3 linked regions of the Saccharomyces cerevisiae S288C genome follow. The gene in region 3 interacts genetically with the main gene of each other region. Each region holds a gene or a part of one and is shown on either strand. Other genes may lie near its edges.

Region 1 (3,515 bases), on a different chromosome or scaffold from region 3:
TTGACGAGGTTTACGATTATCAGTACATCTATAAGGGGAAGCAATAATTTCAATGATTAATTTTGTAAGGTGAACATTGACTGCCAGCAGGATAGATGATAGATAGACATAAACAAAATATACATAACACACGGTGGTGTTTTCTTTTTACACATAATATATTTAATTCTTTTTCTTTTTTTTTTTTTTTGGTTTACAAGTCCACTGAGGGACATTTTGAGTTATCACTTATGGTCTCCTGTAGCATTATTAAAAGAATAAATATCGAAAAGTATACATACTTAATAAAAACTTCAGGCTATTAAATAAACATCAGAACACATTGAGGACAAAGCCATAGAAGTTTGGAGTAGATACGGAATTTTTATTGTATGTATATATTATATATCTAAGCATTTTGCTTTTTTTTACTTCATAATCTTTCAGAAATCATTATATTAAACGGATAGTCATTTGTTTTCAAGGCGTGAAAAAACCTGAGAGGGAAAAGAATAGGACTTTTATAATCTCTTGATGACTGCTTCAGTGAATGATGAAGTAGTAGCAGTACCAGCCAAGTCACCTGTTCTGTTTTCTGGACCTGATGCGATAGTAGACAATACTGCATTTTGAATTTGGTCAGCATGATTCGTTAGACCCATGTGGTTTAACATCATTACTGAAGATAAAAGTAGGGCAGTTGGATTCGCTTTATCTTGACCGGCAATATCAGGGGCAGAGCCATGGACAGCTTCAAAGATCGAGATTTTATGACCAATATTGGCAGATGGAGTTAAACCTAAAGAACCGGCGCTCAAACCAGAGTTCAAGTCGGACAAGATATCACCGTATAGATTTGGACAAACAGAAACAGCGTCTGTGTAAGCAGATGGGTTGGTGACCACCTTTAACACACTGTTATCAATAAGTTCAGTTTCTAAAGTAAGGTCAGGATACTCTTTGGATAGTTCTTTGGCAACATTAACGAATAAACCATCAGCTAATCTCTGGATAGTAGATTTATGTACCACAATAACTCTTGGTCTGCCGATGGCTCTTGCATATTCAAAAGCGTATCTAATGACTCGCTCAGAGGCATCTCTTGTGATCAGTTTAATAGATTGAACAACGCCAGGGCAAACTATGTGTTCGATACCAGAATATTCACCTTCGGTATTCTCTCTGATAAGAACTAAATCAACGTTTTCGTAAGTGGTCTTAAAACCTTCAATAGACTTTGCGGGACGAACGTTGGCAAATAACCCAAATGTTTTTCTCAATGTCAAATTCAAAGATCTGTGACCTTTACCAATAGGTGTAGCTAGTGGACCTTTTAGTGCAACCAGGTTTTTTGTGATAGATTGTACGGCAGGGTCAGGAATGGTCGTTAATCCGTTGACAAAGATAGGGCTAACATCACAAGATTCCCATTCTATGGGGACGTTTGCTGCACTAAAGATTTTCTTTACAGACTTGGAAATTTCAGGTCCGATACCATCACCTTCAATGAACGAGACCGTGTATTTGCCGGTAGAAGGGTTAGGTTTGCCGGTATATCTTCCGATTGAAGGTTGCTTTACAGTAGCCAAAAACCTCCTCGAGGTGTTTCTAAAAAAAGTATTTCTCAACATTATTAAAAAATATTATAATTGTTGTTCGTTCCCGATCTGTATCTTATTATCTACCAAGGTAATTCAGGTTCAGAAAAAGTGTATCCAATAATGTCATGCACTTGGAATATATATTTATATAAATATGAATAATAAATGAAAAAGAAATAAGAAAAGAGGAAAACTTTAGAAGGAGGGTTTTTCTGATATGACTATGATGAGAAACTAAAACCTTAGGGCCTATAATAAGGGACCTATGAGCTTTTCAATAACTTATATATTCTTTAACCAAACAATGGAAGTTACAGAAAATAGGAACTGACCAACCAGAGCGGCCCGTGTCATGCCCCCCCTTGCCGAGATGCGGACCGAGATTGCTGAAAGAAGCGCCGAGTATCGCAAAAGGCCCCTGGCGGGGCAACGACAATTTCTTCGCCGAACCTCGGAATCGACTAGCAGATCACAGTGCTTAGGAAGCTAAGGCTGCGTTCTAGAAGGGCTAGTGAGTCTTCTCAACCATGACTGTCGTTGTTTGTGTTTGGTTTTATGTTCACCTCTAGGAACTCTTTCTGTAGGGTCTTTGATGCCAGTATTGCTGCTGTTTCCAACGTTCCCAAGTAATTTACTAAGTCTGGGAGAAAGGGACTCTGCACTCAATGTTCTACCTTTAAAGGATCTCGGTACAGAAAGCCCATTGTTATCAAAATCTATTGGGCTAGGAAACAGTGCATGATGATGATGATGATGATGATGTATGGTAAAATTGTTGGAGTCAGAAAGTGCACGTGACCTTGGAAGCATATGGTCATCTATTGAAGGGTGCACAAAATCTTCTTCATCGGAGTCAATAGCCATTTCAGGAACGGTAATGTTGTTAAACTTTGCTACTGTTCCTGCATGCGGCATGGTGTCCTTATTCGCTTTTTCCGTATTCGGTATTATATCTGAAGCGTGTAGTATGAGGAATTCGATGACAGTTCTGGAAGCCTCATACTCTTTCGGGCACATTTCATCCTTGGGATGAGACAAAAGTGAGGGTTGTACGATGGCCGCTAAATTGCTTGCTGACATTAAATTCTTCTTTTCATTTCTTGCAAATAAATTCAAGAGCGCGGCTAAATAAAGTATTAAATGGCGATTTTGTTGTGGTAAGAGCATATAAATATCTTCGTAGTCCTTAATGATTTGTTCTTTGTGCTCATTTATTTTTGGGTTTTCTAATATTGGATTTCTAAAAATGTCGTATAATGCTAGGGGAACCAAAGGCTCACTTAATGAGTTCAAATATCTTTTTAATAAAGTTGCAATGTCATGAACATTGAAATCACACCATCCTTCAAATTTACGACCATAATCGGGCGGTTTAGAGAAAACAGCTTGTAGCTCTCTAACACGTTTATTGCTTCCCGCAATACGGAAAATTCCTGTTGTGTCTAATGCATTCTCTTTTAGGTATTTCCCACTTTTTGCTATTACCACCGGTATGGAACCAATTTCATTTGTACTTTTTTGGATAATTACTTCCTCTTGAGCAACTTTCAGTGATTCCTCGAGTGAGACGCCAAATACTTTACCATCAAATTCGTTTTGCAAATTAGTAAAGGTGTCCCTATCCTTCTTGCCCTCAACAGAAGACATTGAAGATGACCTATTCTGTGGAGAACCCTCTTCAGAAGAAGGTGTAGAAAGTAGATTCATGTTAAACATTCTATTTTATGTTGTGTAATAAGATATGTCCAGAAATATACTATGGTTATTTATGTACTCTTTCCTGTGTACGCGTTTCGATTATTTTGCAGGTTATATTATATACTGCTATCACATGCTAAAACAAGAGTATCTAACAATGGGAACACAAAGCAAGTATTGATTTACTCATTCCAGTTGTGTAATTTTCTTCTAAAGATGTACTTAAATAAGAAGAAA
Region 2 (4,821 bases), on a different chromosome or scaffold from region 3:
AGATAGGGACAGGATTTTCGGACGAAATGTTGCAGCTTTTGCACGACAGGTTGACCCCGACGATCATTGATGGACCAAAAGCCACGTTTGTTTTCGATTCGAGTGCTGAGCCAGATGTATGGTTCGAACCTACGACTTTGTTTGAAGTTTTGACTGCAGACCTTTCCCTATCGCCTATTTATAAAGCAGGTAGTGCAACTTTTGATAAAGGCGTATCCTTAAGATTTCCAAGATTTTTGCGTATAAGAGAAGACAAGGGCGTAGAAGATGCAACCTCTTCTGACCAGATCGTCGAATTGTATGAAAACCAATCCCACATGCAAAATTAGATGTGCACACTATTTTTCTCAATTAATCATTAAAAAAAAAAAAGAGGGCGTTCTGTTCAGCTCCAAAACGCCGCATCACATATAATGACATTTATTTACTTCTTTCGTTTCTCTGTCTACCTTACATAATAGCATTATAAAACAATAAGAAATCTCTTTGGCACTTTTCCCACCTTTGTGGGTCAAAAAACACATATGATCCCCTTTCACTTAAACCATCAGCGGATACAATAGGTTCCATCATAGGATCTTTGGTGAGCCAGGCCTTCAACGTCTTGTGGTATCTCCAGTTCCTTTTCCTGAGTTCCAAATACGTTAGTTCCTGGATGACTGTACCAGGGTGTTTATAGAAGAGGAAAAATAGAGTTTCATCTTGAAAAAGGGCAACACGCTGTTGGTCATTTTGGATGGAATTGAAGCATGGTGGAGTTACAGTGGATTGTAATACGCCCGGAATATTGGTGAATGATTCTGGTGTGAAAAATCGGGGCTCCACTTCGCTTCTGGATGTTTCTGCCCACGGTGATTGAAAAGTATCGAGGACTCTGTGATCTTGTGAATCTCTTGGAATACCCAACGAATATAGCATCGACGATAAGTCCGCTCCTAAGGTCATGGAATGGTCATATGTACTTGAAAGTTCTTTGTCCTCTAGCTTAAGGAGCGGTACTAGCGCTTTTAAACCAAATTTTTCCATTATGTAGGGAATAGTATATTTTGATTCTCTTCTCTTCCTGTTTTTCCTTGTGGTTTTTGCATATCTAGTTTAAAAAATGCCTGTTTTGCTATTATCTTATTAATGTTCGCCTCGCTTTTTCGCAGTTATAAAAAAATACTCACATAATAATATACTTCATAACAAAAGAGCTCACTCTTTATAAATCATACACAAGACTCGTAGAAAGGAACTATTAGAAAATAAAGAAATACTTTGTTATATAAAGATGGAAGCAAGACGGTATGGACCGAATATCATTGTTACAGGAACACCAGGATGTGGCAAGTCGTCTACGTGTGAGTTTTTAAAAAATAAACTGAAGGATTACAAATACTATAACATTTCGGATTTCGCCAAAGATAACGACTGTTTCGAAGGATATGATGAGGGCCGTAAATCGCACATTGTCGATGAAGACAAACTGCTGGACATGCTAGAGCCTCTTTTGAGACAGGGAAATAGTATTGTCGATTGGCATGTCAATGATGTGTTCCCAGAGAGGCTGATTGACTTGGTGGTGGTGTTGAGATGCGATAACTCTAACTTGTATTCAAGATTGCATGCAAGAGGCTATCATGACTCTAAGATCGAGGAAAACCTCGATGCCGAGATTATGGGTGTCGTCAAACAGGATGCCGTGGAATCATACGAACCGCACATTGTGGTAGAGCTACAAAGCGATACGAAAGAAGATATGGTATCTAACGTATCCCGTATTGTTGCTTGGGAAAAGATGTGGTTAGAACAACATCCAGATGGAGTCACAAATGAATATCAAGGGCCTCGTAGCGATGACGAAGACGATGAAGACAGTGAGTAGGCGTTCCATAACTTTGTGTATCTACATATATACATATATAATTGTAAATTAGTAACAGTAGTAATAGTAGTGCCTATTATAAAGGGTTTTCTTTAAGTAATGTCATGTACTTGTTTAATGTGACTTTGGTAATATATTTTCATTCTCCGATGCCGATGCCCAGTGGAAAAGTTTAAAGTGAAAAATTTTTCAACACATACAAGTTTAATAAGTTGGTTTTGATGCAAATAGCATTACTAAAGAAGAGCGCTAGGATAATTGTGCATTGCTATTGTGATTTTTGATACAGAAATTATGCACTATGTGGTACTAGAGCTGCAAGTTGCGCATTTGCCAGATACCCCCAAGGATCAATGTCGCATTGCGAATATAGCATTTCAAATTGTGAATGCTGAAACATTAGTATGCCATTATGGGACCAATTCTTTACCGAGCATTGAAGTAAACGGGACGACAAAGAGTTTGGAGAGTGCAATGGTGCAATTGGACAAGGATATTCATGACGTTATTGGTAACGACGACTTTGTTCTTGTTTCCCTGTATTCAACATGGCATATCCGTGTTACCTTACCACGTCAAGCGAGAGATGATGGGTTTATTCTTACTTCTTATTTACAACATCCGAAAGTATTTGACTTATGGAAGGAATTCGATAGATGGTGTGTCAACCATCCGGAGATTTTGGGACAAAAGAAAGCAATCTCCAACAACAATTGTAATACTAAAAGTATTAGTATTAATGCAGCCAAAAATACGAAGGATTTGGACGAAATAGTTAGAATATTGGAAGTTTCAATCCCAACTGAAGAGGCAGGCTCTGTTCCAGAGATATACTCTCTTTTAAAAAGGACAACGGATATATTAATACAATTGCACAAAAAGTGTACTTCCCCTGAAGATATGGAATCTGTCTTAACAAAACCATATGACTCACACACCGATATTAGAGCGTTTTTGCAAGAGAAATCTAAGATTTTGTACATGAACAATTTACCGCCCGACACAACTCAAAGTGAGTTGGAATCATGGTTTACCCAATATGGTGTTAGACCAGTTGGGTTTTGGACTGTCAAAAACATCGTAGAAGATACGTCTAACGTTAATAATAACTGGAGTCTAAATAACAGTCCCTATGTGGAAGATCAAGATAGTATCTCAGGATTTGTTGTCTTCCAAACACATGAAGAAGCAACTGAAGTACTAGCGTTGAATGGGAGATCAATCCTATCTAATCTGGCAAACACTAAGCAACCAAGGGTGGTGGAACATGTCCTTGAGCTTCAACCTTCTTCCACCGGAGTACTCGATAAGGCTCAAGAAATTTTATCGCCTTTCCCTCAAAGTAAAAACAAACCAAGACCAGGTGACTGGAATTGCCCATCTTGTGGTTTTTCAAACTTTCAAAGACGTACTGCATGTTTTAGATGTTCTTTTCCGGCACCATCAAATAGTCAAATACATACTGCGAACTCAAACAATAATGTTAACAGTAGTAGAAATAATTTAAACAATCGCGTGAACTCGGGATCTTCAAGCAATATTAGTAACACTGCAGCGAATCACCCCTATGGTGCCCCTGAGTTCAACATGATTGCTAACAACACGCCAGCAGCTTTAACATACAATAGAGCTCATTTTCCTGCAATTACGCCATTGTCGCGACAAAATTCATTGAACATGGCACCATCGAACAGTGGGTCGCCGATAATTATAGCGGATCATTTTTCGGGAAATAATAATATAGCCCCAAATTATCGTTATAATAATAATATTAACAATAACAACAATAATATTAACAATATGACCAATAATAGATATAACATTAATAACAACATCAACGGTAATGGGAATGGTAATGGGAACAACAGTAATAACAATAACAATCATAATAACAATCATAATAACAATCATCATAATGGTAGTATCAATAGTAATAGTAATACCAATAATAATAATAATAATAACAATGGTAACAATAGTAATAATTGTAATTCCAATATCGGTATGGGAGGATGTGGCTCCAACATGCCATTTAGAGCAGGAGATTGGAAGTGTTCCACGTGCACGTATCATAACTTTGCTAAAAACGTAGTGTGCTTACGCTGTGGTGGTCCAAAATCAATAAGCGGCGATGCAAGTGAAACCAATCATTACATAGATTCATCAACATTTGGACCAGCGTCGCGTACTCCCAGTAATAACAATATTTCTGTTAATACTAATGGTGGTAGCAATGCTGGTCGCACCGATGGGAACGATAACAAAGGTCGTGATATTAGTTTGATGGAATTTATGTCACCACCGTTATCGATGGCAACAAAGTCAATGAAGGAGGGAGATGGGAATGGTAGCTCGTTTAACGAGTTCAAAAGTGACAAAGCTAACGTTAATTTTTCCAATGTTGGTGATAATAGCGCTTTCGGTAATGGTTTTAATAGTTCAATACGTTGGTAGTTAGGAACAGGCGAGGTCAATAAATTTCACACAACCACATTGTATTTTTTATTTTTACACTTTTATATATTTATATACTTTTTCTACCCTTACTTTTTTCTTCAGGTCTAACTGATTGCTGAAGAACGTAATTGTGCGCATATATATGATATTTGATAGAATGTAGGACGTTGATTTTCAAAGTATTCCAGAAAATTTGAGTCATGCTTACTTAGTTTAATTAAGTACTCCTATTTTATTTCATCAGACTTCAAGACGGTTCTTAAGCAATCACCGTTATGCAAATCTTCAAAGGCTTGATTGATTTCTTTGAATGGTCTCCTGTGAGTGATAAATTCTTCGACTTTTAAGGCACCTTTTTGATAGTCTTTAATTAAACCGCCCATTTCAGATCTACCTTTGATGCCACCAAAAGCAGAGCCTTTCCACACTCTACCAGTGACCAGCTGGAACGGCCTTGTAGAAATTTCTTCACCAGCGGCAGCCACACCAATGATAAT
Region 3 (5,275 bases):
TGATACGGAGGGTTCATGATAATAATGGAAAGGTAGACTTCGACGCAGATGATGAATTGAAACTTGTGAATTTGCGTTTAGGAATCGTCGGCAAGAACGCAACTGGGATGAAGGAAGATGAGACTGATATTGTGGTTCCTAAGGAAGAGTCATTGGAAGAGATCTGGCAAAGTATAATAGACGAGGCAAAAAAAGAAGTAATCGAAAAAACTCCAGATGCTGGCGTTAAGAACAAAGAAGGGATTGTCACTGATTTGAATGTTCTAAAAGATTTAGAAAAGTCGAAAAAAGAAGATGAAAAGGTTTACCTAAGTGGTGATGTCCATATGATGATGAACCAACCAGGTGATTTGAATGAAATCGCCAAAGAACATGATAAAATCCCAAAATTTCTATAGTAGGCTCTATGCATCCGGATATACCACATGTAAATATAACGCAAGCGAATAAATAATTTTACATTCACCACTCAGTAACCTTGGTCCTGCAGAAGATATTTCTATATAGTTATTACCGTATTCCATTTTTACTTATGTGCTATTATTTATATTACAGAGGGGTTTCCCTTGTGTTAATTGTTACATTTTTATCATCATTCATTTTTATAGTTTGGTTACCAGTTGCGCTTGTTTCCTGGTTCGAGTTTGGATTATCGTCCTTGAGTTCCGTTGATGATTCCTCGTTGGCGGTTCTTTCTCTTCCTGCTGTTTTTTCATCTGCAGCGTCACCTGACTCTTGTCTGGTTTCGTTAATTGAGGTCAAGGGAGAAGCATTCATTTGTGTATTAGAGTTGACATTTGTGCTGGAATTGACTCTTGGTGAAGATGTATTAGAGGGGGGGTGTCTGCTCATATGAGAGGGCGTAACATTTGGTGAAGATTGTGAAGTTTTTTTAGAAGACTTATTTGGCGCAAATGGTAAAGGCGTGTTGTTGCTATTATTATTAGCACTATTTATGGCTGGACTTCCCTGCGATTCTAGTTGTGTTTGTCTGGAAGTGGGGTTTACTGGCGTTGTTGTACTGGTCGTACCGTTGGGAAAGGAGTTTAGTTGTTGCAAGATTTCCTGGGGCAAATTCTTCCACTGGTTTAAAGGAGATCCTTGCTCGGTCATGGCAGGTGATCCCACGTTAAATTGTATTGGGATTTGCGATTGTACACCTGACCTTTGTGGGTTAACGGAATTGATGTTAGAGTTAGGGCTCACGACCACCGGTTCATCGGTCAGAAGACCAGGAATTTGTGCAAATAGTAAATGCATATTATTCAAAGCATTCGATAGTTTATCAAAGTATTTGGAACCTATCTTCAATACCCAGGTATAATTTCTAACATAATCTCTGAAAATCATAGCCTCTTCCTTCGTAGCTGAAGTCACATACAGCAGGGCAGCAAATGTTCCAATTAGCATCAGATTTCCAGTTGAGCAGTTATACCAAAAAGCATTAATATGTTCGTTTTTTAGATCTCTTATAAATTCAATTGCTGCTACAAGCCTGGTTCTTGCAGCAGTCCTGCATACTTGAACCAGTTCCTTTGGAGTTTGAGGATTCAAGGCACAGATAATTTTCCTATGTAACGTAATTTCCGTGGCAAAATAAGCTAGAGTTAAAGTTGAATTTGAGTTCAATTTTTGTGGCGTGGCATAACTCATTGACAAATTCTTGGGTAGGGAATGGTACCATTCTCTTAATTTCAGTTGCAACGGCTTTGCCAGTTTCAATACCTGTTCAATGCTTTTGTTTATTGTCATGGATCCCTGAGTGTAAAATGTGTCCATGATTTCCCCAAGAATTATACTCAAGGAAACCATTTGTTGAAACATAAGCGTTCCATTCTTGAAATCTTCTAAAGTGGGGTTTATGTTAAATATGGGCAAGTTACCAAATGCTATCTGATGGTTTTTCACATCATTTGATGACGAGGGTGAAGACCCCGACTGGTCATTTTGCAAGGAATTTAAAATAGTGGGCGAATTCAGAGGAAAATCATCAAAGTTTAATAGCTTGATCATCCAGTTCCTACCTAAAATTAAATGGGATTGTCTACCTTCGTTTAATGCACACCATTTATCCATCAACCAAACTGCCCACGCTAATCTCTTTCTCAAATCTTTTTCCCATTTGGGAAGTTTCCAATCATTACATTCAACCCCGAGCCCCAATTCCTCTGCAAGGGCCACTACGCTGGAGCAGAGGACCCAGTTGTTATGACATTCACTACGGCATTGCAAAATCAAAAGGCCTGTTTGTATAATGCTCAATTTTGGCCTTCCAACTCGAGCATAAAATGTTTCCAATGCGATATTGTTTAGTTGAGCAGTTACATCGGGTTTAGGGAACCCCAAAAGTGCAGGATGAAAATCCCAATATTGTAATGCCAGTGAGTAAATGGATGCCAGTAAAGGCGCAGTGAGTTCTCTATAAGATCTAGAATACTTTTCCAAAAATACACGTTCGTGTAAAATTGGAAGAAAAGGATGAATCAATTTGAAGAAAATCTCTACTAAAAGGTGACCGTGCGGATGTACCAGATTTTCGACCAAATCAACTTCGTATTCTTGCTTACTATGAAGGGTCGTGTCAAAATCGTCCTGAAGAATAAACTGTGCGGTAGGAGACACCTTTCTTAATGATAAAGTTTTTGATAGCTGTATTTGGTCAACATTATCTAGTCTTACATGCTTGGTCAAGTTCAAATCGAAAACTGAGGCCGGACCGACGAAAAAAGAGGATCTGGGGTATTGTATACGCTGTTGCTGCTGTTGCTGTTGCTGCTGCTGTTGATGTCTATAGAGCATGCTACTGGGTAAGCGATTCGAATAGTCTTCAAAATTTTTCATTCGTTTGGAGTTTGAAGAGGTTGGCATGTTATTGTTTGCCCCAGAGGACGTTCTTTTCAAATAATTTGGAGCAATACTGAAGGTGCATTTAGTTCTTGACGTTTCACATTCGAGACAGTTGCCTAGGTCGGGAAAATAGTTGCACTTTGTTTTCTTTAATCTACATTGATTGCAAGATCCCATCAGATTACCGGGACTAGATATGTCATTATTGTTGTTATTATTGTTGCTATTACTGCCATTATGATCTGCGCTGTTACTAACATTGTCATCAAAGGCTATTGCATTATCACTCTTGGAGAGTAAACTTTGATAATGGTGCAAAAGGGTATCCAGGCTCTGTTGTTGCTGCTGTTGTTGCTGCTGTTGTTGCTGTTGTTGCTGCTGCTGATGCTGTTGTTGTTGTGATCCTCCTTTCTCCCTCAGTATATTAGGATGGTCGTTTGCCAAATGTTGCAGAATGGTAGTATAGTTATCATTAAAATTCAGTATATCATGGTTACTGTTATTATTGCTGTTGTTGCTATTGACATTATTATTCGTGGACGAATTTTTAGTGGTTGCCTTCACGCTCTTCGTAGGCGATGCGGCATTATCAGCTGGTGATTGGTGAGGGTCCATTTGATAGTATGGCTGCCTGTCGTTCTGCCGCTCGTCTAAACAGGCCAAGAGTTTTTAAGATCTACACTATTATTTGAAAATGATTCTTATCATCTATTATTTTCAATCACCATGTACGATTGTTATGTTTCATATAATACCCATCGCGATGGATATTATATGAGTATTATTAGCTCGAATCTTGGACTGCTTCTGCTCTACCTATACACTGATTGTACAATTCTATATGCTTATGCAGCTTAGACCATTTTTTATTCGAGAAGTTAAACCTAGCGGTCTCAATTACCGACACATATGCCTTTTCAAGATATCGAGTTAATGAGCGACGGTATCACCTTATAAAAAATGACACAAATCATCTCTGTTGAATTGCCTACATCACTGTGGGAGCTCCTTTTTCAATAATTCTCAAAGCGTGTCCTAAGACAATATTTTGTTTTCAGCGTGGACCGAATGGTTATGGTTATATAATTAAACAAGTTAAAGACCATAAGCACAAATACAAAGTACGTAAACATCGTTCCAAAAAAACTTGGCGAACTACTCGCCCCCCAGCAGAGCACTCAACCCCAACATACCTAACAATGCAAACTTGGCATATTTGTTCTCGCTAATCCAAATCGTAATGTACCCTAGTTGTGGAAAGTAGCCCTTGACGGTCCCTACAATCTCCTTTGACTTGTTCAAGTAAATTTTCTTATTAGCATATAGTGAGATATCATTGCCGGCGTTATTGTCACCTTTGGTCAGGAGGAATTGCTTGTCCGCGTGATTGTTATGTTGCCTCAAAACTCTATGCACAATGGGGATTTGTTTCCCTTCGACCTCATACACCACGACATCACCTACTTGGTTGAAAGTATTTCTATTCCATAGGAAAAGGATATCACCCCTTTGGAAAGCTGGTTCCATGGAGCCTGAAAGCACCACCACGATCGGAGAAGCGCTATTAGTAGCAATGGCTAAGCCTTGCCAGAACATGTAAGCAGATGCAAACAAAAAGCAAACGTTCAATAGTTTCTGCAATTCAAATCTTAGATTCATCTTGTGCTAACTCCCTTGGGGTTTACTTTCCGGTATATTTCTGTAGTATATTGTTTCTGCACCATTTATTTCCTTGGAGATTATTTTTTTGAAATCGCTTTTGCCAATGGAAAAAAGTATACGTATGGTAATAATAATAAGAGCAACAGCGCTCTCTGAAATAGAAGATACCAGCAGCTTCGTGGTCTTGGGAGTCTTGCAGCTGACAGAGAATGACATTGTTGTGCAGGTGTGTCACATAAGATCTGGAAAAAACCAACAGCTACAGAAAGAACCGCCCTCACGGAGAATAAAGTCAATAGTAGCTTTTTTTTACGTACTTTCTATTTACATGCTATATAAGAGGATTATATCTTTGCGCCTTTGAGAAACTTTGAGGAACCGGCCTGAAAATGTTGTAGATTGAGCTTTTCTTGCTTAACGTAGTCGTTGAATTGCTTTAGGACGCCTGAGTCCAACCTACCATTGTCCTTCATCACAATGTCAACGAGGTTGCTATACGTACGAAGAACTTTACTCGACTCCATAGTAGCGAGAAACACCTCTGTCATATCAGATGCATCTTTTCCTGTGTCCAGGGAAAGACAATCCTTCAGGGAGAAGTTTAGGCCCGTTGTCGAGGATAGTATGGGGAATTTAAGTTTCCAGCCTTTATCCAAATGAAGACACATTAGCGGGTCGATGTCATTATCGAAGGCGGATCGCAGTAATCGCTTGGTGACAACCTCCTTTATAGTGGCACGTACCACCGGATCGTACATCTGATATT

The links. Genes that interact genetically often act in the same process or in processes that back each other up.
Region 1: mutations in DAL81 (region 3) and IDH2 together harm fitness more than expected from each alone (negative genetic interaction), as found in Saccharomyces cerevisiae (2 studies listed by BioGRID).
Region 2: mutations in DAL81 (region 3) and NRP1 together harm fitness more than expected from each alone (negative genetic interaction), as found in Saccharomyces cerevisiae (2 studies listed by BioGRID).

The regions. Positions count from the first base shown.
Region 1 is NC_001147.6:578,345-581,859, reverse strand, and holds IDH2 (isocitrate dehydrogenase (NAD(+)) IDH2), read right to left. Parts: upstream 1,611-3,515; coding exon 501-1,610; downstream 1-500. Other genes in the region: SIA1 (Sia1p), read left to right, coding at 1-47; GTPase-activating protein BAG7, read right to left, coding at 2,067-3,296. UniProt on the Saccharomyces cerevisiae protein: Performs an essential role in the oxidative function of the citric acid cycle. Also binds RNA; specifically to the 5'-untranslated leaders of mitochondrial mRNAs.
Region 2 is NC_001136.10:160,495-165,315, reverse strand, and holds NRP1 (Nrp1p), read left to right. Parts: upstream 1-2,161; coding exon 2,162-4,321; downstream 4,322-4,821. Other genes in the region: DNA ligase (ATP) CDC9, read left to right, coding at 1-329; CCR4-NOT core subunit CDC36, read right to left, coding at 451-1,026; FAP7 (nucleoside-triphosphatase), read left to right, coding at 1,274-1,867; SFA1 (bifunctional alcohol dehydrogenase/S-(hydroxymethyl)glutathione dehydrogenase), read right to left, coding at 4,552-4,821. UniProt on the Saccharomyces cerevisiae protein: May play a role in chromatin organization.
Region 3 is NC_001141.2:397,964-403,238, reverse strand, and holds DAL81 (Dal81p), read right to left. Parts: upstream 3,463-5,275; coding exon 550-3,462; downstream 1-549. Other genes in the region: INA22 (Ina22p), read left to right, coding at 1-398; signal peptidase complex catalytic subunit SEC11, read right to left, coding at 4,003-4,506; YIR021W-A (uncharacterized protein), read right to left, coding at 4,513-4,725; MRS1 (Mrs1p), read right to left, coding at 4,854-5,275. UniProt on the Saccharomyces cerevisiae protein: Positive regulation of genes required for catabolism of GABA (UGA4, UGA1, and UGA2), urea (DUR1 and DUR2), arginine and allantoin.